Linked DNA regions of Xenopus tropicalis. The protein of the gene in region 2 binds, or shares a complex with, the protein of the main gene of each other region. Links are inferred from orthologs where the notes say so. Each region holds a gene or a part of one and is shown on either strand. Other genes may lie near its edges. The genes, in order: cbll1, rbm15b, zc3h13, mettl14 and virma.

Evidence for each region.
Region 1: rbm15b (region 2) and cbll1 share a complex: the UniProt entries of both Homo sapiens proteins name them as parts of the WMM complex. The link is inferred for Xenopus tropicalis from reciprocal best matches to the Homo sapiens genes RBM15B and CBLL1.
Region 3: rbm15b (region 2) and zc3h13 share a complex: the UniProt entries of both Homo sapiens proteins name them as parts of the WMM complex. The link is inferred for Xenopus tropicalis from reciprocal best matches to the Homo sapiens genes RBM15B and ZC3H13.
Region 4: rbm15b (region 2) and mettl14 share a complex: the UniProt entries of both Homo sapiens proteins name them as parts of the WMM complex. The link is inferred for Xenopus tropicalis from reciprocal best matches to the Homo sapiens genes RBM15B and METTL14.
Region 5: rbm15b (region 2) and virma share a complex: the UniProt entries of both Homo sapiens proteins name them as parts of the WMM complex. The link is inferred for Xenopus tropicalis from reciprocal best matches to the Homo sapiens genes RBM15B and VIRMA.

Annotation. Positions count from the first base shown.
Region 1 is NC_030679.2:76,284,343-76,288,551, reverse strand, and holds part of cbll1 (E3 ubiquitin-protein ligase Hakai), read left to right. Parts: intron 1-97; coding exon 98-171; intron 172-622; coding exon 623-664; intron 665-3,102; coding exon 3,103-4,135; 3' UTR 4,136-4,209. UniProt on the Homo sapiens protein: E3 ubiquitin-protein ligase that mediates ubiquitination of several tyrosine-phosphorylated Src substrates, including CDH1, CTTN and DOK1. Targets CDH1 for endocytosis and degradation.
Region 2 is NC_030680.2:127,344,513-127,349,463, forward strand, and holds the start of rbm15b (putative RNA-binding protein 15B), read right to left. Parts: upstream 3,083-4,951; 5' UTR 2,637-3,082; coding exon 276-2,636; 3' UTR 1-275. UniProt on the Homo sapiens protein: RNA-binding protein that acts as a key regulator of N6-methyladenosine (m6A) methylation of RNAs, thereby regulating different processes, such as alternative splicing of mRNAs and X chromosome inactivation mediated by Xist RNA.
Region 3 is NC_030678.2:134,321,843-134,326,492, reverse strand, and holds the start of zc3h13 (zinc finger CCCH domain-containing protein 13), read left to right. Parts: upstream 1-1,692; 5' UTR 1,693-2,236; intron 2,237-4,650. UniProt on the Homo sapiens protein: Associated component of the WMM complex, a complex that mediates N6-methyladenosine (m6A) methylation of RNAs, a modification that plays a role in the efficiency of mRNA splicing and RNA processing.
Region 4 is NC_030677.2:70,530,754-70,534,962, forward strand, and holds part of mettl14 (N6-adenosine-methyltransferase non-catalytic subunit), read left to right. Parts: intron 1-2,176; coding exon 2,177-2,265; intron 2,266-3,062; coding exon 3,063-3,150; intron 3,151-4,209. UniProt on the Homo sapiens protein: The METTL3-METTL14 heterodimer forms a N6-methyltransferase complex that methylates adenosine residues at the N(6) position of some mRNAs and regulates the circadian clock, differentiation of embryonic stem cells and cortical neurogenesis.
Region 5 is NC_030682.2:127,965,818-127,970,026, reverse strand, and holds part of virma (protein virilizer homolog), read left to right. Parts: intron 1-1,192; coding exon 1,193-1,318; intron 1,319-3,436; coding exon 3,437-3,709; intron 3,710-3,831; coding exon 3,832-4,209. UniProt on the Homo sapiens protein: Associated component of the WMM complex, a complex that mediates N6-methyladenosine (m6A) methylation of RNAs, a modification that plays a role in the efficiency of mRNA splicing and RNA processing.

The DNA.
Region 1 (4,209 bases), on a different chromosome or scaffold from region 2:
ACTAGCTGCTTTTTGCCAACACACTCTCTTGCTTCATAAAATGTGTAGAATACACTTATAAATTCAAATTTTAAAACCTTCTTTGTTTTCCTTTCAGATTCCATGTAAGCATGTTTTCTGCTATGACTGTGCTTTAATGCATGAGAAAAAGGCAGATAAACTGTGTCCAGGGTAAGCCTACAATTACATTTATTTCTTAGAAATAGTAGAAAAAATATTTATTTGGGGCTAAGTACTAGTGTATTATTTATTCCTCAAAAGTACCTAGCAGACGATAAGATGGATAAGTCAATATATTGCTCATAATCATTTGGTAGTTGCTTCTCTTTTGACAAAGTTAATTAACAATCGTTAAACATTAAGTATATTTATAAACATGCATGAATCCAGATTTTATTTGTTACTTAGGGTGGGTACTGTTTCCTTTATGAATGCTACATTCTCTATTTTATTTTTTAATATTATTTTAGCTGAGGGATGTTCTTATTATTCTAGTCATGTGATTTTTTTTTGATTTTTTTTTGGTTCACTTTAAATACCTTACAGGGTGGAGCTAAATGGAATGTGTATTTTGTTTTTTTTTTATTTTGTGGTGTAATGTCTCTTTTTCCCCTCCCAAAAGAACACTTGTTGAAGAAAGTACTGACACCTTTAAGCGTATGAGGTAGGTTCTAATAGTTTAGCAATTTCTTAAGTAACTGCAAAGATATGGTTAGGAATGTTTTTTTCCCCAAAAAAATATTGCAGCATATTTGCTGATGAGCTACATTTCTTGATGTTAACACCTCAACTTACTTAAGAACAGCCTTGCCACACAGAATGTGGGGATGATTTTGTTGTAATTTTATGAGCGTGATTACATTTAATTCCTGATGAGCAAGGAATCTTTTTGTTTTAAAAATATAGCAGAGTTTGTTTTTTATTATGCATAAAACATGTTTCATCCTGAAAAACTTTTGAAAGCTTTAAAATAGCAATGTTCTGGATTGCTCTTTTTATTGTTGATTAGCACTGGTTCTTTATATGAGTTCACTGAAACTGATATATTGCAATAGTTTAGTTGGGCAAGAAGTATGGTACCTATTTTCTAGAATGCTCAAAAGCTGGGGTTTTCTGGCTCTGTGAACTGGATCACCATACGTAAAGAATAACTTTAATATTAAAGCCAATAAGGTTGTTTTGCCACTAATATGGATTAATGTTATCATAGATGTAATCAAGAACAAGACATTTTTATTGCAAAAAGAAAGGGAAAAAAAAGTAACTATTTGCTATACATGGAGTGTATGAGACATGACCTGTTGTTCGGAGCTTTCTCTACCTTACAAATTAGAGATCCCATACATTTTGTTATTGCGATTTTACTTTTAATAATTGTTGGGATAGGTTTGGTGCTTTGGCAATAACTAAAGGTTCAAGGTTGTATTCTGTTAAATGAGAAAAAGAAAGTGATGCTGAAATAGATGCAAGCTCAAATCTTTGCAATTGTGAGCTCTTAATGAAAAGGGCTGTCTTTATTTCTTATATCGATCAGTATTAGCGTAGTTGATGCACATCCTTCCGCATGTTGACACTTAAAAGATATAAAACATGCAGCCCAACATTAGGTAAATTTTGCAATTAGTTTTTTTTACTGATCTGGAACGGCTTTACTGATAAAATCAAAGCTGGAATAGGAATTTAAAAAACTTGAGTTTTCCTCAGAATTTACCTGATGTTTAACAATGTATGTTTCTGTATCCATTCAATTAACTACTTTTTTTCTGTAGCTAAACAGAGACAGATTATGGCTTAGCAACCTAAACAGTTTATTCACCCACAGGGATACACTTTTGTGATTTAGTGTAGCTGTTTATCATGCTATGTAAATGACTAGGTCTGATTCAACTTGATGCAGACTGAGACTATTTCCTACATCTGATAAGCACTAAGATACCGTAAGGCAACAGTGTGGTTTGAAAAATAGTTATTCTGCAGATACAGCATGCATGCTGGAAATGTGGTGCATCAGATATCAACTTTCTTCTGCTAGCTTGAGCACTTATGGATATGATTGCCCATCTTTCACACTTGCACAGGTATGCCTAAAATGTAAAATGCCTAAGTCTCGTGCTAACGATGCCTTTGGCTATGCTGGACCTTTTAGTATGAGTAGTTGAGTTAAAGATTTTTACTTTACTGCTCAAGCATATAGTTCCAACAGATTCAAAGGAGTACTGGCAACGGACACAAGATGTTGGTAAATAGGAGCAAGAGACCCTGCCCATTAACTTTATACAGTTTGCATCATCACCCATAGTGATTCCAGTTGCTTACCTGCTACCCTGACTGGCACTTCTTCTTCTTCAAAAAAAAAAAAGCACAGCCTTGGGCACTACTTACCAAGTGCCGAGTTGCAATTTTCTTTAAATCTCGTAGATCCTCCAATTCTTGGAGGACTGTGCTCCAGGCTGGTATGTTTTTTGAAGATGGGTTTTTTTTTTTTTTTGGAACTGCTGGGGGCTACTTAAGAACTTGGCAACCTAAGTTATTTTAATGTTCCATCATTTGGTAGGTTTCTAAAGGCAAATCATTTAGCTTCTATCAATATTGTAGTCTTAAATGTTTCTAGATGGTTTTGCCCGTTAAAACTCTTGCAGCCATTAAATTATGATGTGATGTAACTGCATGACTGTTTTTAGAGTATTGCGTCAATGCCTATCTTTTTGAGGCAGCATATGCAATTATATATGCATTATTTAAAGTTCTGGTAAATTATGACATTGCATATGCAATTGTAATTTATTATAAGCCCCAACTGGCGATAATTTGAAGGTTTTGGTGGCTTTGTCTTTCAAATAATTTAAATAACTCTGATAAAGTTTAATTTGCTGGGGTTTCATTTAGAAATCCCCAATTTTAATTGTAGTAAATATGCCTCTTTACTTTTAAAACTAGGAAATTTTCATACTAGGTTGGAATATTTTTTTCATCTTACGTTAAATTAATTTGAGGAAGATTTTCATTCATTAAGAAAATGTCTCAAATAGGACATCGATGTGAATATTAGTATGTTTCCAAGCAGCATTAAGAAACTTCTGTTTTTTTTTTTTTCCTTTTCAGTTGCAATGATCCCGTTCAACGCATTGAGCAGTGTGCACGTGGCTCTCTCTTCATGTGTAGCATTGTGCAAGGTTGCAAGAGAACATATTTATCTCAAAGAGATCTGCAGGCACACATTAACCACCGTCACATGAGAGCTACCAAGCCAACTGCCCGACCTCAGCCTGAGCCAATCCATCCTCCTTTGGCCCCACCCCCAGCAGAAATCCCAGATCGCTTTATAATGCCCCCAGATAAGCATCATCTAAGTCATATGCCTCCAAAACAACATATATTGATGCCACCTCCCCCAATGCAACATGTTCCTCATGAGCATTTCAGTCAACAACATGATGATATTCGGCCCTCTCCAGCAGAAATTTCCTTAGCCCCGCCTCCACCCCGCTCTGTTAATCAGGATGCTTTCAGGATATCTACTAGACAGCATAGCAACTTAATCACAGTGCCTATTCAGGATGATTCCAATTCTGGTGCCAGAGAAACTCCTCAGGCACCTGGTCCTACTCTACATCATCCAGAGTATCCAGGCCAACCAGTGGTGGCTCATCCTCACCATATAATGCCTCCACAGCAGCACTATGCTCCACCCCCTCCACCACCCCCTCCAATCAGTCATCCAATGCAACACCCTCCTCAGGCAGCTGGGACACCTCACATGGTTTACAGCCAAGGTCCTCCACCACCAATGACAACTGCTCCACCACCAATAACACCCCCACCGGGACATATAATTGCTCAAATCCCACCATACATGAATCATCCTCCTCCAGGACCTCCGCCACCACAACATGGTGGTCCACCAGTTAATGCTCCTCCTCCTCATCATTATAATCCTAGTTCTTTGCCTCAGTTCAATGAAGATCAAGGAACTCTAAGCCCTCCCTTCACACAACCTGGGGGAATGAGCCCTGGGATGTGGCCTGCTCCAAGAGGACCACCGCCACCCCCCCGAATGCAAGGGCCTCCTTCTCAAGCCCCTATTCCAGGACCTCATCATCCAGATCAGGCCAGATACAGGCCGTATTATCAATGAAATACTTATGCTGAACTTGCTAGATGTAATCTTTTGCTTCAGCTGCAGGTTTATGGTAATGTGTATACAGTCTC
Region 2 (4,951 bases):
CTTCTGACTGCCTTATATACCTGTGACAATAGCCATTGCCGTGCATTGGAACACCGACAGCTAACAGGGTTAGAAAACACTTTGTAAATTAGGTTGCAGAACCTTTTACACAACTAAAGTGATACATGATTTATTCCACTCAGTTCAGTCCTAACTTGAACTCCCCCATATTTTTGGTTGCCCGCCCCCATCAATTCAGAAATCCATAACAGAGAGAGGACAGTGTAGGCACAGGACAGTCTAACAGGGCACCATTGGGCACAGTGACTTCTGGATTAGGCGCTGTCTTTCACCAACACAATAATCATGTTCTCTTCTAGCTTGCCCACAAGGCGCTGAGCACTTTGCTGGTACAGCTGGTGGAAGTCACATGGAGGGAATGCATACAACATGCCGCTGGGGTCCCTGCCCTTGTTGCTCCCTCCCACTGGTAGGCTGATAACTCCAGCCGCCTGTTTCTGTTTTAGGTAGGAGACCAGGTTCCTGAGAAGGCGGCGCTGTAAGCCAGGTTCCCCAGGTATTGCCCCCTCATTTTGTGGGGCTTGTGTGGCAAGAAGTACAGCATAGCCTCCGGCAGTGCCCTGTCTCACTTTACGGGTGACCTCCTCAAGCTTAGGCTGGTCAAGCCGGAGTCGCTGGGCAATCTTAAGTTGTGCCAGGCTGCCTCCACTTGTAGAAGAACGGTCCTTGAGTAGGGCACCTGGCACATCACGGTCACCCTCTAAGAAATGAAGGTAGGTTGGAAAACAGCTGTTTTTAAGTACCAAATGCCCACACCACACAGGTGGCAGCGTCCGTCCCTTCTCCACTCCAGGGGATTGCCGCTCAGCAGGTGGCTCAGGAGGCCTAGGATGGTGATTCCTGCGGGGCTGGGGCGGGTCAGGGGTTGGGGGCCGGGGCTTGTCCTGGGATGAAGGTCTGTGATTGTGTTGCGGGGATGGAGGAGTACTAGGGTCTCTTTCCGGAGGCTCCCTCCTTTGACGATCTGGGCTCCTCTCGGCTCTACTCCGAACTCTGTCGCTAGACAAGCTGCGTCGTCGCCTTCTTTCCTCCCGTGTTTTTGAACTGCTGCCCCCACCACCTCCACCCCCACGGTCCCCACTTCTGCTCCGTGCACCTTGGCCTGAGCTGCGCCGCTCAGAATTTACCCAGCCGGCTTCCACAAACGGTCTCTCGCGATCGGAGTATAGAAGATGCGGAGGGGTCCTATCTCTCACTCTGAGATCTGGGTCCAGAGCAGTACGATGCCTGCTATAAGCTTCAGGTTGCAACAACTCATAGGGCAGAGGCAGAGGGTATGGAGTTGTCTGAAGAGGAGCATAGCGAGATGCAGCTGCAGCAGCCTCGTCCGGCGACACAGTGGCAAAGTCTACCCGAAGCCTACGGTCTCCCAGTGCAAAGCCCCTCATCTGCGTACAAGCCGCCTGGGCGGCATCTAAGCTTTCATACTGGATGTATGCAAAACTGTCTCCTTTGACATAATCCACTGTACGGATACTCCCAAAGCGGTCAAACTCCCGAGCTAGCGCTGCGAGAGAGGTGTTGGGGCCCAGCCCCCCCACCCATAGTCGTGTGCTCGGGTTGGGTTTCCCATAGCCAATTTTCATTGCATTGCGCCCCAACAAGCGCCCGCTCATTGCAAGCTTTGCCCGATGGGCCATGTCCAGGTTTTGGAACCTGAGGAAGGCGTACGCCGCTCCTTGGCCCCTCCCCGGGCGCTTGATCACCACTTCCTCTATGGGGCCGTATTTATCGAATGCCCTCCGTAAATCCACCTCCGACACCATGTGGTCTAAGTTGCCAATGAAGAGATTGCGGGTGGCTCGGTGGTCATCCTCTGGGGCCAGCTGCTCATCGTCGGCCGTACTGGTGCTGCTCATACCGTAGGTGGCCCCCCGGACTCTCTCCTCATAGAGTGGGTAGTAGCCATCCCCAGAGGCCGCTGTAGAGGTGAGAGAGGAGGGCAGGAGCAGGTGCCTGGGGGAAGTGGATCGGGGGTAGCTGGGCAGAGAGGTGAGGGAGAGGGGGGAAGGCTCAGGCCGGCGGGTCGGTTGCTGAGTGAATACCGGCTCCACACGCAGCTGCCGATCGTACAGCACCGGCCGTACCTTGGCGTGTCGGGCCTGGCGAGCCTCTGCCGGCCTGCGGAAGTTGATGTAGGCGACCCGGCCGAGCTCCGGGGTGTGTGACAGCTTCACACTGATGTCTCCGAAGCGCTGGAAGTGCCGGAAGAGCCAATCCTCCAGCAGCGGGTCGGGCAGCGCCGAGCCCAGGTTACTGATCAGCAGCGTCTTGTACTCCAGGCCCGGGGCCTCGGCCGGAGCGGTCAGTAGAAGGGGCCGGGGCGGCGGATCTCTGGGCCGGCGGGAGGAGGAAGAAGACGAAGAGGAGGAGGCCCCGGCCTGGTTAGGCCTCTCCCGCCTTCCCGAACTTTTATGGTGAGCCCCTCCGGCCTCCTCCCGCCTCTCTCTGGCTCTCTTGGCGCGGCCGGGGCTCTGCTCCCCGCGTTCGCTCTGTCGCTTCATGCTCACGTCCCGCTGCTGGCTGCTCGCCGCTCCGTCACCACACGCGGGGGAGGCGCGCTTACTGTGCAGCCGCCATCTTCCACAATGAGTGGGGAGGGAGAGTGATGTCATCAGGGGGCGCCGGGAGCGGTGACGCAAGCAAGGGTGTGGCGCGGAGGGTCACATGGGCCGCCGGCGGGCCCCCAAAGCGCCTGTCACTTCTGACTAACAGAGACTGTCACTTCTAAATGCATCACAAAGGTTCCCTGCAGCAAGGGCAAGTGGGGGGCAAGTGGGGGCAGAAAGGCCATGGCCGCCGTCAGAAGAGTCTCTCCAACGTCTTGACTGGGATAGTCAGGGGTAAATAGGGTGATACTATAATGTGTAATAATGGCTCTGTAACCTGCTAGCTGAGTAAACGGTGAGGAAACTTAAAATTAAGAATTATTACGTTGTTGACAGGAAGTGCTAAGACAATCTGGTTGCTATGGGTTACTTGGCCTTGCAACCAGGGGCGTTTGGAAGTCAAAATGAAAGAAGAATATTGAAAGGTATAAACAAATACATAAACAATAAAACTTTATCCAATAAGAAACACCCTGCTGTGTGATCATTCCCCATCATGCTGGGGCTGTAGGTGTAACATGGGAGGTTGGGTGCTGGGCAGGTACAACATGGCTTTGTGTAGGCAGGAGGGGTACATACCTGCTTGTAGTGGGAGCATGAAGAGATAATAACCAATAAGGAATGGTAGGGTAGTTGTGCATCTTTTCACTTTGAAGTTTTGTCTCTGGGCTGCAGGGATTCTTCCTAAAAGCCCTTGTTATAATTCATCACACGTTAAGGCTGATGCCACACGTGGCGTAGGGCTGATTTTTTCCGCTTGCCGAAAATTCAGCCCTACGCCTGCTACTTGTGCCTGCACCCGAATGAATGGAATACGCTCGGGGGCAGGCACATGTAGCCAATGAAAACGTGAGACTTTGCATTCTCTCGCGTTTTCATGCGTATATCGGCTACATGTGCCTGCACCCGAGCGTATTCCATTCATTCGGGTGCAGGCACAAGTAGCAGGTGTAGGGCTGAATTTTCGGCAAGCGTTTTTCCTCTTGCCAAAAAAGTCAGCCCTACGCCACGTGTGGCATCAGCCTAAAGGGATAGTTTACTTTGAAATAACTTTTAGTATGGTGTAGAGAGTGATATTCTGAGACAATTTGCAATTGGCCTTCATTTTTTATTATTTGTGGTTTTTAAATCATTTAGCTTCTCATTTAGCAGCTTTCCAGTTTGCAATTTGAGCAATCTGGTTGCCAGGGCCCAAATTTCCCTAGCAACCATGCATTGATTTGAATGAGAGACGAAAACAAATAGGCAAAGGGCCTGAATAGAAAGATTGATAATAAAAAGTAGCAATAATAATACATTTGTGGATTTACGGAGCATTTGTTTTATAGATGGGGCCAGTGACCTCCATTTGAAAGCTGTAAATATTCAGAAGAAGAAGGCAATTCAAAAACTATAAAAAAGTAAAAATGAAGGCTTATTGAAAGGGGAGCCTCCCAAAAGTGGCTGGATTGCATAGAAGACCAACAGAGCAGGTTCTGAGCAGTGAACTGGATTGTGTAGGCGAGGGATAGGTCAGCAGGCGGATAATGGTTGTAGAACAAGGCAGATTTTACAGTAGCAGTGGATAGACAGAACTGTCAACTGCCAATTGTTTGGCCAAACCAAATCTGAACCCTCTGAACAAGTCATGTGGCTGCCCTAGATATTTTGATGAGGACCTTAGCCAGTTTGGAGAAGAAGAAGAGTTTCTTCAAGGGAAAAACTGTCTACTACAAACAGAAGAGTTATTTTACCTTTACATAGAGGCAACATTGGTCTATAAGCCCATATTGTTCCAAATTAGCACAAACCTGCTGCAGACCATACAGTAAAGTTCTGGATTACTGGGCAGAGTCTGGCTTTAAAGACAGTAATAAAAAGGGAAATGTCCATTTATGGTAGGTCACCAAACAAGGAGGACGAATCAGAAATTAAAGAGTCTTGTGATCAGAAGAAACTAGAGTGGAACAACCCCAAATGACAATGAGCTCTCGAGGAAAAGCTTAAGCACAAAACTATTCTCATGAAGGCTTATGGGAGACCATCAAAGACCCTCCTAAAAGCATGAGCAAAGTGCACAGTTTCTCTTTCTACCAGTGAGGTAAATCCCAAGTCAACCTTGCCAGGAAGTAAAACTATAATATATGGCACTTTGGAAAATTAAACTATAATAACAAAGATTAGAAAACAGGTCTGAGAATGACCATCATAGCACTGGGGCACTGGTATATAAGGTTGGGCAGATGCTGTCACCGCAACAACAGGGGCTTTGCAGCACAGGTGCCAATGGAGGAGTAGGTATGAATAGCATCATAGTGGCTGCATGCATGCATCTAAATGGT
Region 3 (4,650 bases), on a different chromosome or scaffold from region 2:
CGATATCGGTCGACTTGCCGATTGGGCGGGTTAAAAGATTTTGATCGGGTGCCATAGAAGACGCCTGAGCAAAATCTGCCTTCAGGGCTGAATCGGCAGAAATCCTATTGTTTCTACCTCCTTATCTGCTGTTTCAGCCCTGAATGTTAGTGGCCGATTGAACGATCTTTCGTGCGATGGTCGCACGAAAGATCGCAATTCGCCATGTGTGTGGCCACCTTAACTCAGGTATTCAGGTACATAGGAAACACACACTTACCTCTAGTCTTTTTTATATTTGCCACTGTCTTCTTGATTTGACCTTCACCTACTCTCTCTAAATGTTCCTGTTATCTTCTAATGACTCTTTCTTGGTCTCTTCTTTGCTTTTCCTTTCTGTCCTATTCTCCTTCTGAATCCTTCATTTTCTGGTATATATGATTTGGCCTTATACCCCTTCAACTTAAGTTATTCCCTTTTTAACAATACCCCATTCTCTCCTACTAGACCCCAATTCTCAGTTCTCTCCTGTCTTGGGTGCAAGTGCAGAGCATGTTTTTCAATAACGCACAGAAACACTCCCTTTGGCCTCTTTTTGCTCAATTCTTTCTTTGGTAATGCAATGTGCACATGGGGATTGTTTCATCCTGCAAAAAAAGCAAACATAAAATGTGTATACAAAACTGCACTATGACTCAGACCCTGCAGGAACACTGAGAATCTGTATGCGGAGTGCGTTTCTGCCTATAACAAGACACCTTTCTCCATGGGTCCTTAGTCTTAAATGTGCATAGCTGCAGTGCTCCCACAAAAGTAATCAGTGGTTCCAAAGGTATAGAGGTACTGAAAGTTAGAGAAGAGATACAGTAAATGCTAAAGTGGACAGAAAAACAAATATATTTATGGAGCACTCAAATAAGGAGCAAGCTGAAGTCAAAGCAAGTAAGTTGTGTGGATCTAGGATGTAGTTTGAGCAGGAGGAGGCTCTGGATAAGAAATAGGATGAAGAGGCTTGGATGTGGAAAACTGATTAAGACTGCATACCCAGGACTACAACATGTTATTATCAGATTGCTAATGTCTGGATATGGCCGCTGGAGCACATGCTTGTGTATACACTAGAAGGCGGTGAGTTTGCAAGTGAGTGGCTGTAGCCAAGCAATATCTAACATACATCAAACTTGAAGGAACTGTTTTCCTGCAGCACATTCATGGCACTATGCATTTATCAAATGTTTTTTCACACTTGGATCTTTGCACTTGCCATCCATTTTAAGTCCCTTTGCCCAAGTAACCCCTACATAATGTTACATCTGTGAACACAATTGCATTTTTTGTTGTATATTCTCCCTGTGCTTTTGTGGGTTTCCTCCGGGTACTCCAAATTCCTCCAACACTCCAAAAACAGACAAGGTGGTTTAACTGGCTTCTGATAAACCTGATGACAGCTCTAGATATATGTATCTTTAAACTGTTAATAGTGTTTTGGCTTAAGAAAGTGCAACCCAATGGTTAACTGAATACAGAATGTGCATATACAGGGTCAAAACTCTGGGTCTTCAACAAGAGCAGCTGAGCCAAGCCTGGTACAAACAGGGAAACCATTAAAACCGAAAATGAATGTAAAGTGCATAATAAATCATAGGACTAATCTTTTTTTTAGCTTTATAACAGCCTAAGTTCTCCTAAGTCAAACACGCCCATCTTAGTTACTTCCCACAGCGCACAGCTACGTCACTTTGTTAGCGACCGCATGGAACCTTACTTTGAGACACACGGTCGCTTCTTATGACGTCTCGTTTCCATAGCCCGCAGTTGATTGGCCGTGTCTACTCTGACTGGATGAGCGCTCTCCATTGAGTTTGCGGGCTTCCCGGCAGGCGTAGCGGCGGTCCTGCTGTATCTCCGGCCTGCGCTCGCCTGAGCCGAGCCCGCCTGCTGTTTTGTTGCCGTCGCTGCGTCACGATCGCTCCGGGAAACCGGGATCAGCTGCGGCAGCTGAAGTGGTTGCCGCCGCAGTGGTGGAAGAAGAAGAAAAAGAGGAGAAGGAAGAAAAAGAGGGGTCAGGAGGAGCCGCTACGGCTGTTACGCGGAAAGGCAGAGAGGGGCGGCGAACCCAGCCGTGCTCGGGCGCTCAGTCACTCCGCGGCACTGGGAGACGCCGCTGAGCTCCCAGTAGCTGCCGCCAAACCCACAGCGGTCACGGCCCGGGATTCCTCAGCCAGCGGCGTTCGCCGCCGCTTCAGACGGCAACAAGGTGAGAGCAGCGCCCAATACTGTTCTACTGTTGTTACCCCTGTATCTGTCTGAGAGCGTATTAACTACAGGGGCACCCAGGATACTGGGGGGGGGGGGGGGGTTGTGCATCTTTGCCTTGGTGCAAGTTAGTGACACTTAGTTACCCCTGTATCTGTCTGAGAGCGTATTAACTACAGGGGCACCCAGGATAGGGGGGGGGGGGTTGTGCATCTTAGCCTTGGTGCAAGTTAGTGACACTTAGTTACCCCTGTATCTGTCTGAGAGCGTATTAACTACAGGGGCACCCAGGATACTGGGGGGGGGGGTTGTGCATCTTAGCCTTGGTGCAAGTTAGTGACACTTAGTTACCCCTGTATCTGTCTGAGAGCGTATTAACTACAGGGGCACCCAGGATACTGGGGGGGGGGGGGGGGGGGGGTTGTGCATCTTAGCCTTGGTGCAAGTTAGTGACACTTAGTTACCCCTGTATCTGTCTGAGAGCGTATTAACTACAGGGGCACCCAGGATACTGGGGGGGGGGTTGTGCATCTTAGCCTTGGTGCAAGTTAGTGACACTTAGTTACCCCTGTATCTGTCTGAGAGCGTATTAACTACAGGGGCACCCAGGATACTGGGGGGGGGGGGGGGGGGGGGGGTTGTGCATCTTAGCCTTGGTGCAAGTTAGTGACACTTAGTTACCCCTGTATCTGTCTGAGAGCGTATTAACTACAGGGGCACCCAGGATAGGGGGGGGGGGGGGTTGTGCATCTTAGCCTTGGTGCAAGTTAGTGACACTTAGTTACCCCTGTATCTGTCTGAGAGCGTATTAACTACAGGGGCACCCAGGATACTGGGGGGGGGGGGGGGGGGGGGGGTTGTGCATCTTAGCCTTGGTGCAAGTTAGTGACACTTAGTTACCCCTGTATCTGTCTGAGAGCGTATTAACTACAGGGGCACCCAGGATACTGGGGGGGGGGGGGTTGTGCATCTTAGCCTTGGTGCAAGTTAGTGACACTTAGTTACCCCTGTATCTGTCTGAGAGCGTATTAACTACAGGGGCACCCAGGATACTGGGGGGGGGGGGTTGTGCATCTTTGCCTTGGTGCAAGTTAGTGACACTTAGTTACCCCTGTATCTGTCTGAGAGCGTATTAACTACAGGGGCACCCAGGATAGGGGGGGGGGGGGGGTTGTGCATCTTAGCCTTGGTGCAAGTTAGTGACACTTAGTTACCCCTGTATCTGTCTGAGAGCGTATTAACTACAGGGGCACCCAGGATACTGGGGGGGGGGGGGGGGGTTGTGCATCTTAGCCTTGGTGCAAGTTAGTGACACTTAGTTACCCCTGTATCTGTCTGAGAGCGTATTAACTACAGGGGCACCCAGGATAGGGGGGGGGGGGGGTTGTGCATCTTAGCCTTGGTGCAAGTTAGTGACACTTAGTTACCCCTGTATCTGTCTGAGAGCGTATTAACTACAGGGGCACCCAGGATAGGGGGGGGGGGGGGTTGTGCATCTTAGCCTTGGTGCAAGTTAGTGACACTTAGTTACCCCTGTATCTGTCTGAGAGCGTATTAACTACAGGGGCACCCAGGATACTGGGGGGGGGGGTTGTGCATCTTAGCCTTGGTGCAAGTTAGTGACACTTAGTTACCCCTGTATCTGTCTGAGAGCGTATTAACTACAGGGGCACCCAGGATACTGGGGGGGGGGGGGGGTTGTGCATCTTAGCCTTGGTGCAAGTTAGTGACACTTAGTTACCCCTGTATCTGTCTGAGAGCGTATTAACTACAGGGGCACCCAGGATAGGGGGGGGGGGGGTTGTGCATCTTAGCCTTGGTGCAAGTTAGTGACACTTAGTTACCCCTGTATCTGTCTGAGAGCGTATTAACTACAGGGGCACCCAGGATACTGGGGGGGGGGGGGGGGTTGTGCATCTTAGCCTTGGTGCAAGTTAGTGACACTTAGTTACCCCTGTATCTGTCTGAGAGCGTATTAACTACAGGGGCACCCAGGATAGGGGGGGGGGGGGGGTTGTGCATCTTAGCCTTGGTGCAAGTTAGTGACACTTAGTTACCCCTGTATCTGTCTGAGAGCGTATTAACTACAGGGGCACCCAGGATAGGGGGGGGGGGGGGGTTGTGCATCTTAGCCTTGGTGCAAGTTAGTGACACTTAGTTACCCCTGTATCTGTCTGAGAGCGTATTAACTACAGGGGCACCCAGGATACTGGGGGGGGGGGTTGTGCATCTTAGCCTTGGTGCAAGTTAGTGACACTTAGTTACCCCTGTATCTGTCTGAGAGCGTATTAACTACAGGGGCACCCAGGATACTGGGGGGGGGGGGGGGGGGGGGTTGTGCATCTTAGCCTTGGTGCAAGTTAGTGACACTTAGTTACCCCTGTATCTGTCTGAGAGCGTATTAACTACAGGGGC
Region 4 (4,209 bases), on a different chromosome or scaffold from region 2:
TTCAGTGGACCCCTGGTGTTCAAATTTAGGGTGTTTTATGTTGGTACCTAATGCTATATGGGAGATAAGATGCTGCAAAGTGGAAGCTCTGAGGGGATTTTTGGAATTGTCATCAAAATTGCTAACTTTAGAAATGCTTTGCGGCTTGGTACTTTGGAGTAGAAACACATAGGTACCCATTTTAGATTCGGGGGAATGTGTACTTTCCAAAAATATATGGCTTTCTGGGGTAAGCGTATTTTTTTGTAGCTTTATCCCACACAATATGATGTAAATGTGTTGATTTTGCAGAAGCTGGAATGACAAAAATGGCAGATCATATGGTATATGTTCACATTGGGGCCCCTACATGCCACATACTTAGGTAAACCTATACATATTGGGCATCATACTGTTCAGTGGACCTCTGGTGTTCAAATTTAGGGTGTTTTATGTTGGTACCTAATGCTATATGGGAGATAAGATGCTGCAAAGTGGAAGCTCTGAGGGGATTTTTGGAATTGTCATCAAAATTGCTAACTTTAGAAATGCTTTGCGGCTTGGTACTTTGGAGTAGAAACACATAGGTACCCATTTTAGATTCGGGGGAATGTGTACTTTCCAAAAATATATGGCTTTCTGGGGTAAGCGTATTTTTTTGTAGCTTTATCCCACACAATATGATGTAAATGTGTTGATTTTGCAGAAGCTGGAATGACAAAAATGATAGATCACATGGGGGTATGTTCACATTGGGGCCCCTACATGCCACATACTTAAGTAAACCTATACAAATTGGGCATCAAACTGTTCAGTGGACCCCTGGCGTTCATATTTAGGGTGTTTTATCTGGTTACTTTATGACCTGTAGGAGATAAGATACTATAGACAGGAAGCTTTGAAGCAATTTTTAATACATTTCACAAATTTTGATAAAAACCAATAACTTTAGGAAAGCATTGTGACTTGATAGTTTGGAGTAGACAGACAGTTGTGCCTATTCTGGATTCCACAGAATCTGTTCTTTCTAAAAATGTATAATTTTCTTGGATAAACCTTATGTTAGTGGAATTTGTGACCTTGAAATCTAAAGTATGCAGCTTTATGGAGCAGTGCTTTGGAAATTTGGTAGTGTACTGCTGGGAGTTTTTGACCTATACAAGTGAGAAATCTCCATAAAACTATATATATTTGGTATTGGCATGTTCAGGAGACATGGGACTTTCCAAATCAGTTGTATTTTTGTGCATAAAATATTTTTTGTTTCTGATGTATGTGTTTATATTATGGAAAATATAATTTTTTTTCATTTTTTAGATATCTAGAAGCCTATATCTTGTTACAGAATTGTAATTACACAAAAATTCCACCATATTTTGAAAGCTTAGGTTGTCCTGAAAAAAACAATATATCGTTTTCCTGGGTAAACTAAAAGTCCCCCCAAGGAAAAGCCCCTAAAGTGAAACAGTGCAAAATGTTCAAAAACTGTCTGGCAGTAGAAGTTCCACTTTGGTCCAAAACGGCTGGCAGTGAAAGGGTTAAACTCTGTTAAAGAATAGAGACAGCTACACCATCATCAGCTTCTAAGGTTCCTTATTGAAATATTGTTATTATCATTTATACAGCACCGTTAGCTCCTGCAATGATTTACAGGGATACAAATACAATACGTAACAGTTTACTTACACAGACAAACATTTTGGGCAATGTAAAGCTTGCGAGTTCATGTAGAAGTCAAAGGGAATTGTGCAAGCAAAATGTAAATTATTTTCTTAATTTCAAATTTTCATGGTTTATTTATGATTGTTTTTTTATATAGGTACACATTTAATTTTTTTGGTGAGTTTATTCAAATAAGAAAAAATTAGATTTTTAAGGTTCAGTGATCCCTATTCTTTTGGTGACACTTTGTCACTTGGGGAGAAGTGATCCCCGGCAAACAACAAATTACTATGTGTGTCATTTGGAATAGCTACACGTGCCTATTAAAGAGAAACCAGCAGAGGACCCTTACAAATAAGGTTTACTTGCTGCACAACTTCTTACTGACTGAAGGAGTTAAACATTTCTTTACATATACTCGGACCAAATGTTAGATATGTGACTGGGGAACTATTGATCGTTGAGCAATATTTTTAATGAATCTACAGAAAAAATATGGCTGAACTAAGAATAAACCTGATTTTTTCTGTTACAGCTGGGAGCTGAAAGTGCTGACAGTATTGGAGCTGTGCTTAACAGCAAGGATGAGCAAAGGGAAATCGCTGAAACAAGAGAAACTAGCCGGTAAATCTAGATGCATGATTGTTTGCATGTGTTTTCTGCTTCTTCCCTAGCTTTCTGCAAGTGCACTTAACAGTTACAAATTGTTATCTGTATATTCAGTAAGGAGGGAAGAGAGCCTCTTTTTAAAGAAGGTAATTGTGTCGAAAGTGCCAGATTCATATACGCATACAATTCTCATTGATTATTATAGAAAGGAATCTGCAACATTTCTTTGCATTTATGATGCTGAACACAGAAGAATCACAAATAATGACGAGGCCCTTCTGTCCAATGAGTTTTAGGCTATTGGCACACAAGGTGGTTTCTTCACTGGTATTTCAGCCAGTAGTGAACTAGCCATGCTTTTTACCCTATTAACACTAATGGATATTGTCTGACACTGCAAATACAGGCAGTTATTAGACTGAAAATGTTTCAACACATGTTTTGGACCAAAAACCATGGTAACATCTGTCGGGTTAAAGTAGGGATCTACAGGGGTCATTTTTGGGTTTCTCTGCCAGTTATTAGACGCTAGTAGATAAAGTGCCCTATATACCATTTGATAGCTGTTTTTTTTCTTAAGTAATTGGCAAAAAGATCATTATCTCAGAATTCTTCCTTAGTATATAGGTCATGTGATACTGGGAGAAATCATACTACAGAAAGCCATGTGTGCCTACTGAAGTCATACGATAGCATTGTAAACAAAACCTTTGTGTTCATTTTATAAATGGCCCCATAACTTTGTACACTAAATGAGGGCTGATGTCCATAATTCTGATTTTATATTTATTTAATTCTATTTTGTGTTTAAGTGCTTCATATGACACATCAGCAACAGTTTCCAAACGCAAAATGCCTGAAGAAGGGGAAGCAGATGAAGAGGTGATTGAGGAATGTAAGGTAAAGCATTTTTTTTTTACTTTATCTATAAAGCTGTCTGTGGGCAATGCTTTCAATATAAGCAGTGGAGATAATTTCACTCACCTTGCACTTTAAACAGTATACTCAAAATTTTACCACTTTAAAGGAACAGTTCAGTATAGAAATGAAACTGGGTTAAATAGATAGACTGCGCAAAATAAAAAATGTTTTCAATATAGTTAGGCAAAAATGTAATCTATAAAGGCTGGAGTGGTCAGATGTCTAACATAATAGCCAGATTCCTACTTCCTCCTTTACAGCTCTCTAAGCTATTAGGGCGAAGACACACGGGGGCAATTAGTGGGTGCAACTTTTTGAAAAGTCACGCGACTAATCTGCGCAACGAAATTGCGTGCACAATTTGTTGCGGCGTCGCAATTGTATTCCATGGGCGGAAAGTTGCTGCGATTACTCGCAGCAGCTGAGTTAATTAAAAGTCGCGGCGACTAATCTCCCCATGTGCCTTCGCACTTTGGAGTCACTAACCAATCAGTGACTTATTAAGTTGGGGGGGGGGGGGGGGTTGCATATGGGACATATCTGTTCAGTTAGTTTGAATTTGACCTCCGTGCTCACAAACTAACTGAACAGGTATGTCCCATGTGGTCCCCCATAAAGTCGCTGACTAACTGAGGTTATAGAGCTGAAAGCAGGAAGTAGTGTTTTGGCCATTATGTTAGACATCTACTCACTCCAGTCTTTATAGATTACATTTCTGTAAATTAGAAATATTTTTTTTTATTTTGTGCAGTCTATCCATTTGACCTTGTTTCATATTTATACTGAGCTGTTTCTTTTAGAATATATTTTTGGACAAGAACAGAATGTTTTACACGCACACACGGCTTTACTATAGCACCCCTTCCCTATTGCAGTTACAGATCACAGTAACCTTCTACAGCTGGCCAAGCTGTTCTTTCCACAACTTTGGTGCAAGTGTGTGAGGCTAGTGTGCCCACTTACAGTATATAAATAACTTTATATTGATTTTATAAGGGGGCCCTTAGTGTGTAGGAGGCTATAATGGTGACCTACATT
Region 5 (4,209 bases), on a different chromosome or scaffold from region 2:
CAGAGTATTCTTGCAGGGTCTAGCTAGTGTAGAAACTATTCATGCTTTTCTTGTATGTATTCCAAAAATAATTCTTCCAGAAAAAAAATAAAAAAAAAAATAAAAAAAATAATGGTATATTTAAATTAAAATCCATAGCTATAGTAAATTTTCAACACAGGCCTATTTATTTTTTTGTTTTTTTTGTTTAATGTTGCCTCTTTTAAAAGTAACTAAATCTTAAAGTAGATGATAGATGAAGTTAGAAGTTGCTGGTCTCCTTGCCTCTCCTCATTTATAGAAAAAAGGCAGGTTCGCTTTTAAAATGTTGAATACAAAATAAGTTAATTAGCATGCTTTGACTCAGGGTTGGGCAAATCCATAGCCCTCCAGATCTTTTAAACTGCCTGTTTCCTGCTGGCTGAGAAAGTGCTGGGAACTGTAGTTTAACTGAATGGTCGCTAGTTTCTTCTCCCTGGTGTTAACCCTTTGTATTTGTAAGATATAGCCCTATCACTTGTTCTTTTCCATATGAGATTTAGTTCCCCAAATCTGCGGCAAACAGTGGTAAGATGAAATTGTGTGTACAAACTTATGCCGAGGTCCCACCAGGAGATTTGTTGTCGGGCTTTTTTTCGTAGCCACGACTTATCTCTAAAAGAGTAACTGTGACAAAATAAGGCTTATTAATTAAAGTAGGCACAAGTACTAGATGCAATAAAGGGCTCAAATTGTGCTATTGCATTGCTGTATAGCTACTGTGCCTATCTGCCCTCCCCTAAGTGAGCAAGGTGTAGTCTAGGTGTCCTTTTGCATCACATATCAGAGTATTTCTACGCATTTTCACCCATAGCATAGGGAGTAAGCATTTGCAACGGATTGCAGCAGGTGCAAATTCACCAGAATACGGACCATTGGGATCATTGCAAATATTTCCCAATAAGTCTCCTGGTGTGACGGTGGCTTTACATGCATTTTTCAGATATTTGTAGGAAAAGTAACACTGCTATCAGCCACTCCAGTAAAATATATATTATTTAATAAGAAGCTGCCTGTCCAATCCACTTTGAATATTGGGCTAAAACTATAGATCTTGTTCTATAGTATTTAAACTAAATACCACCGTACTGCTCCTTTTTATTAGATGTGTGCAAGTCGCTACACATTGGGCCTTCTGCTAATGAGTGGGTTGCATTTGGTCTGCTTCTTTCAGTTGAAGAAGACAAAGATGATCAATACAATGGTAGCCCCCCAAGGCCGCAGCCGAGAGGGCCCAGAACTCCCCCTGGCCCTCCGCCACCAGACGATGATGACGAGGATGAGCCTATGCCAGCCTCGGGTAAATGTACAGTTTGGTGATTGATGAAACCTTTGTTTACCTCATCTGCTGTAAATCCGCAGGCTTTATCTAATGCTGTGTGGTCTGTTATGACAAGAAGTCGTCCTCTTCCCCAGCATGCTTCCTGTGTATTGCTAAATGCTCTGTAGTCTGTTCTGCATATCTGCTTGTTGCTCTGCTGCTGTGGTCAGTATCACACTTTCCCAGGACACGCAGAGCTCTGGACTCGACACAAGACCCAGGACTCTGGTGCTTGTGTCTCTGAGCTGTGCTTTCCTTCTGTGTCTCTGTGTGAATAATCCAGCTTTCCTGTTTTATGGCAGTTTTATTGTAACTTCTGCATTTTTAAAGTTGAATAAGACTGTTTGTTTTTGCTTTCTAACTGCATGAGTCCTTTATAAACCATCAGGGTACTTTAACATTCTCATATTTTTTTTTTTTTTTTTTAATTTGTCACAGTGAATGCAGTACTGGATGCAATTTACACTATTTTGTTTCATTGTTTTATATATTTGGCTGTGTTGCTTGTCCACAGCATATTTGGTCAGGAGCGTTCAGCAAGTCTAGTCTGCTTTTTGCCTGATTTTTGGTGCTTAGGCTCAGACTGGGCTCTGTGTATATCCCAAGCATTTTTCCTTTATAGTAGGTGCTTGTACCTTATGAGCTGGATGAGTGTTCTATGCATGTACTAATATTTTGCTAAAGTAACACATTCTGATGGTACACTTGACCTTTACTCTTTGTAATTGTGACTATTCCTTAATTGTGGAACAATTTCCCAACTCTGCCTGTTTGATGATATATGTCCTCTTTTATCTATCTGTTAAGGTCATTAAAGGGAACCTATTCCTGTTTATAAATGGGGATTCTATTCTACCTATTATGGTTAAGAATTAAGACCTAGGATATTTTGTAATACAGGGCATTCCTCCTGTGTGACTGCATTTTTAAAGGGGTAATTCACCTTTGTTAACTTTTAGTATGTTAAAGCATGGCCAATTCTTAGCAACTTTTCAGTTGGTTTTCTTTATTTTGTATAGTTTAGTAATTGTTTGCTGCTGCCTATTGACTTTTTCCATCTTTCAAATAGGGGTCACTAACCCTTGTAGCCAAAAAACAATTGTTCTGTGAGGCTACAATTATATTGTTATTTTTACTTCTCTTTCTATTCAGGCCTCTCCTATTCATATTAGTCTCTTTCAATCCAGGGCCTGGTTTCTAGAGTAATAGAAACCATAGCAGCCATATAGGTGCTGAACTTCCAAACTGAAGTGTTGCTGCAGTCATTACATCAGTGATCCCCAGCCAGTGGCTTGTGAGCAACATTTTGCTCACCATCCCCTTTTAGTTGCATCTAGTGGCCTCAAAGTAGTTGCCCATTTTCACATTTCTGGCTTGAAGGCAAGTTTTGGAGATACAGACACAGCAGAGCCTCCTGCAGGCTAGCAGTCCACATGGAGCTGCCAAATAGCCAATCAAGGCCCCGACTTGGCACCCCTGCTTGTGTGGCTCACCAACACTTTCATTACATCTGAGTGTGGCTTACAAGTGAAAAAGGTTGGGGCTACCTGCTCTACAGAATAACTAATAGTTAATTTTAAGGTGAATAACCCCTTTAAACTATAAACAATAGAACAGCCGTTTATCTGCTACTGTTGCATCTCTATTGCAGTCTTTGGAAAATACCTAAGAATATAGGGGAATGCTGCTGCTACCCTTGTATAATGATTATACAGTGCTCTTTCTTTATACTAGCACCCTTTTTATAGCACATAATTAGTTCAAGTAAGATTTTATTAACAAATGTGCATATCATTATAATGAAATATCACTGTTAAAATGCAATTGGTAGGCAAAGTTTAAAACGGGCAGTATATTCAGGAAGCATTGTATTCAGAGAAAACTCTCTTGCTGTCTGTTAGTGAAAGTTAAACCATAACCCTATCATTACTTGGGGGTAGTTCCCATTAAGTATGTCTTGAATTGCATCACCCTTCATCATAGTCAGAAGATGTGTTCTCTATCTCCAAACCCCCTATAAATCACATGTACATAACTTGAAAGCTGCTTGTTTTTCTGACAGGCCCTTTGATTTGCCTTGTTCCTTTTCTGTGTCAGGTGGAGAGATAGAAGATGATGGATTACATAGAGAAGGATATTTTGAACCCATATCCCCTGATCGAGTTTCTGTCCACCCTGATGGCAACTATTCAGATGAAGACGATGGGGAAGATGATCCCCAGGATGAGGGAGATGAAGACGATGAGGATGAAGATGATGATGACGATATCAATGCTGAAGATGAGGAGGATGAGGAAGATGATCAGACTGGTGACAGCATAGCTGACGAAGAGGATGAAGATGATGAGGGTGATGACGAGGATTTAGAAGGTGTGTTTGAATTAGATTTTCCTGCTTATATAGTTGTTAATGTAACCATGGAAAACCCACTGTGTAATTTGCTGTACTGTAAAGAAAAAAGATTAACAAAATACCTTTATTCCATTTGGCAGATGATGGCTACGAACAAATTTCAAGTGATGAAGATGGGATTGCTGATTTTGAGCGGGAGGCATTTAAATACATAGACTATACTCCTGAGGATTTGGCATCTGTACCCACCATGGCCTATGACCCATATGACAGGGACTTGGGCCCTCTTCTATACTTCAGTTGTCCGTACAGAACTGCATTTGAGAATGAAATCTGCAGACTTCAGGAACTAGATCTAGACAAAGAAAACTCTGGGGAAAATGAAACATCTTTGAAGCTAACTGAATTACTTGAACTGTATCAAGATGACAGAGGCTCCAAGTGGGTCACTGCATTAGAAGAAGTCCCTGGTTTAATTGTGAAAGGACTGAGCTTTGGCATGCTTAAGGAACCTGGAA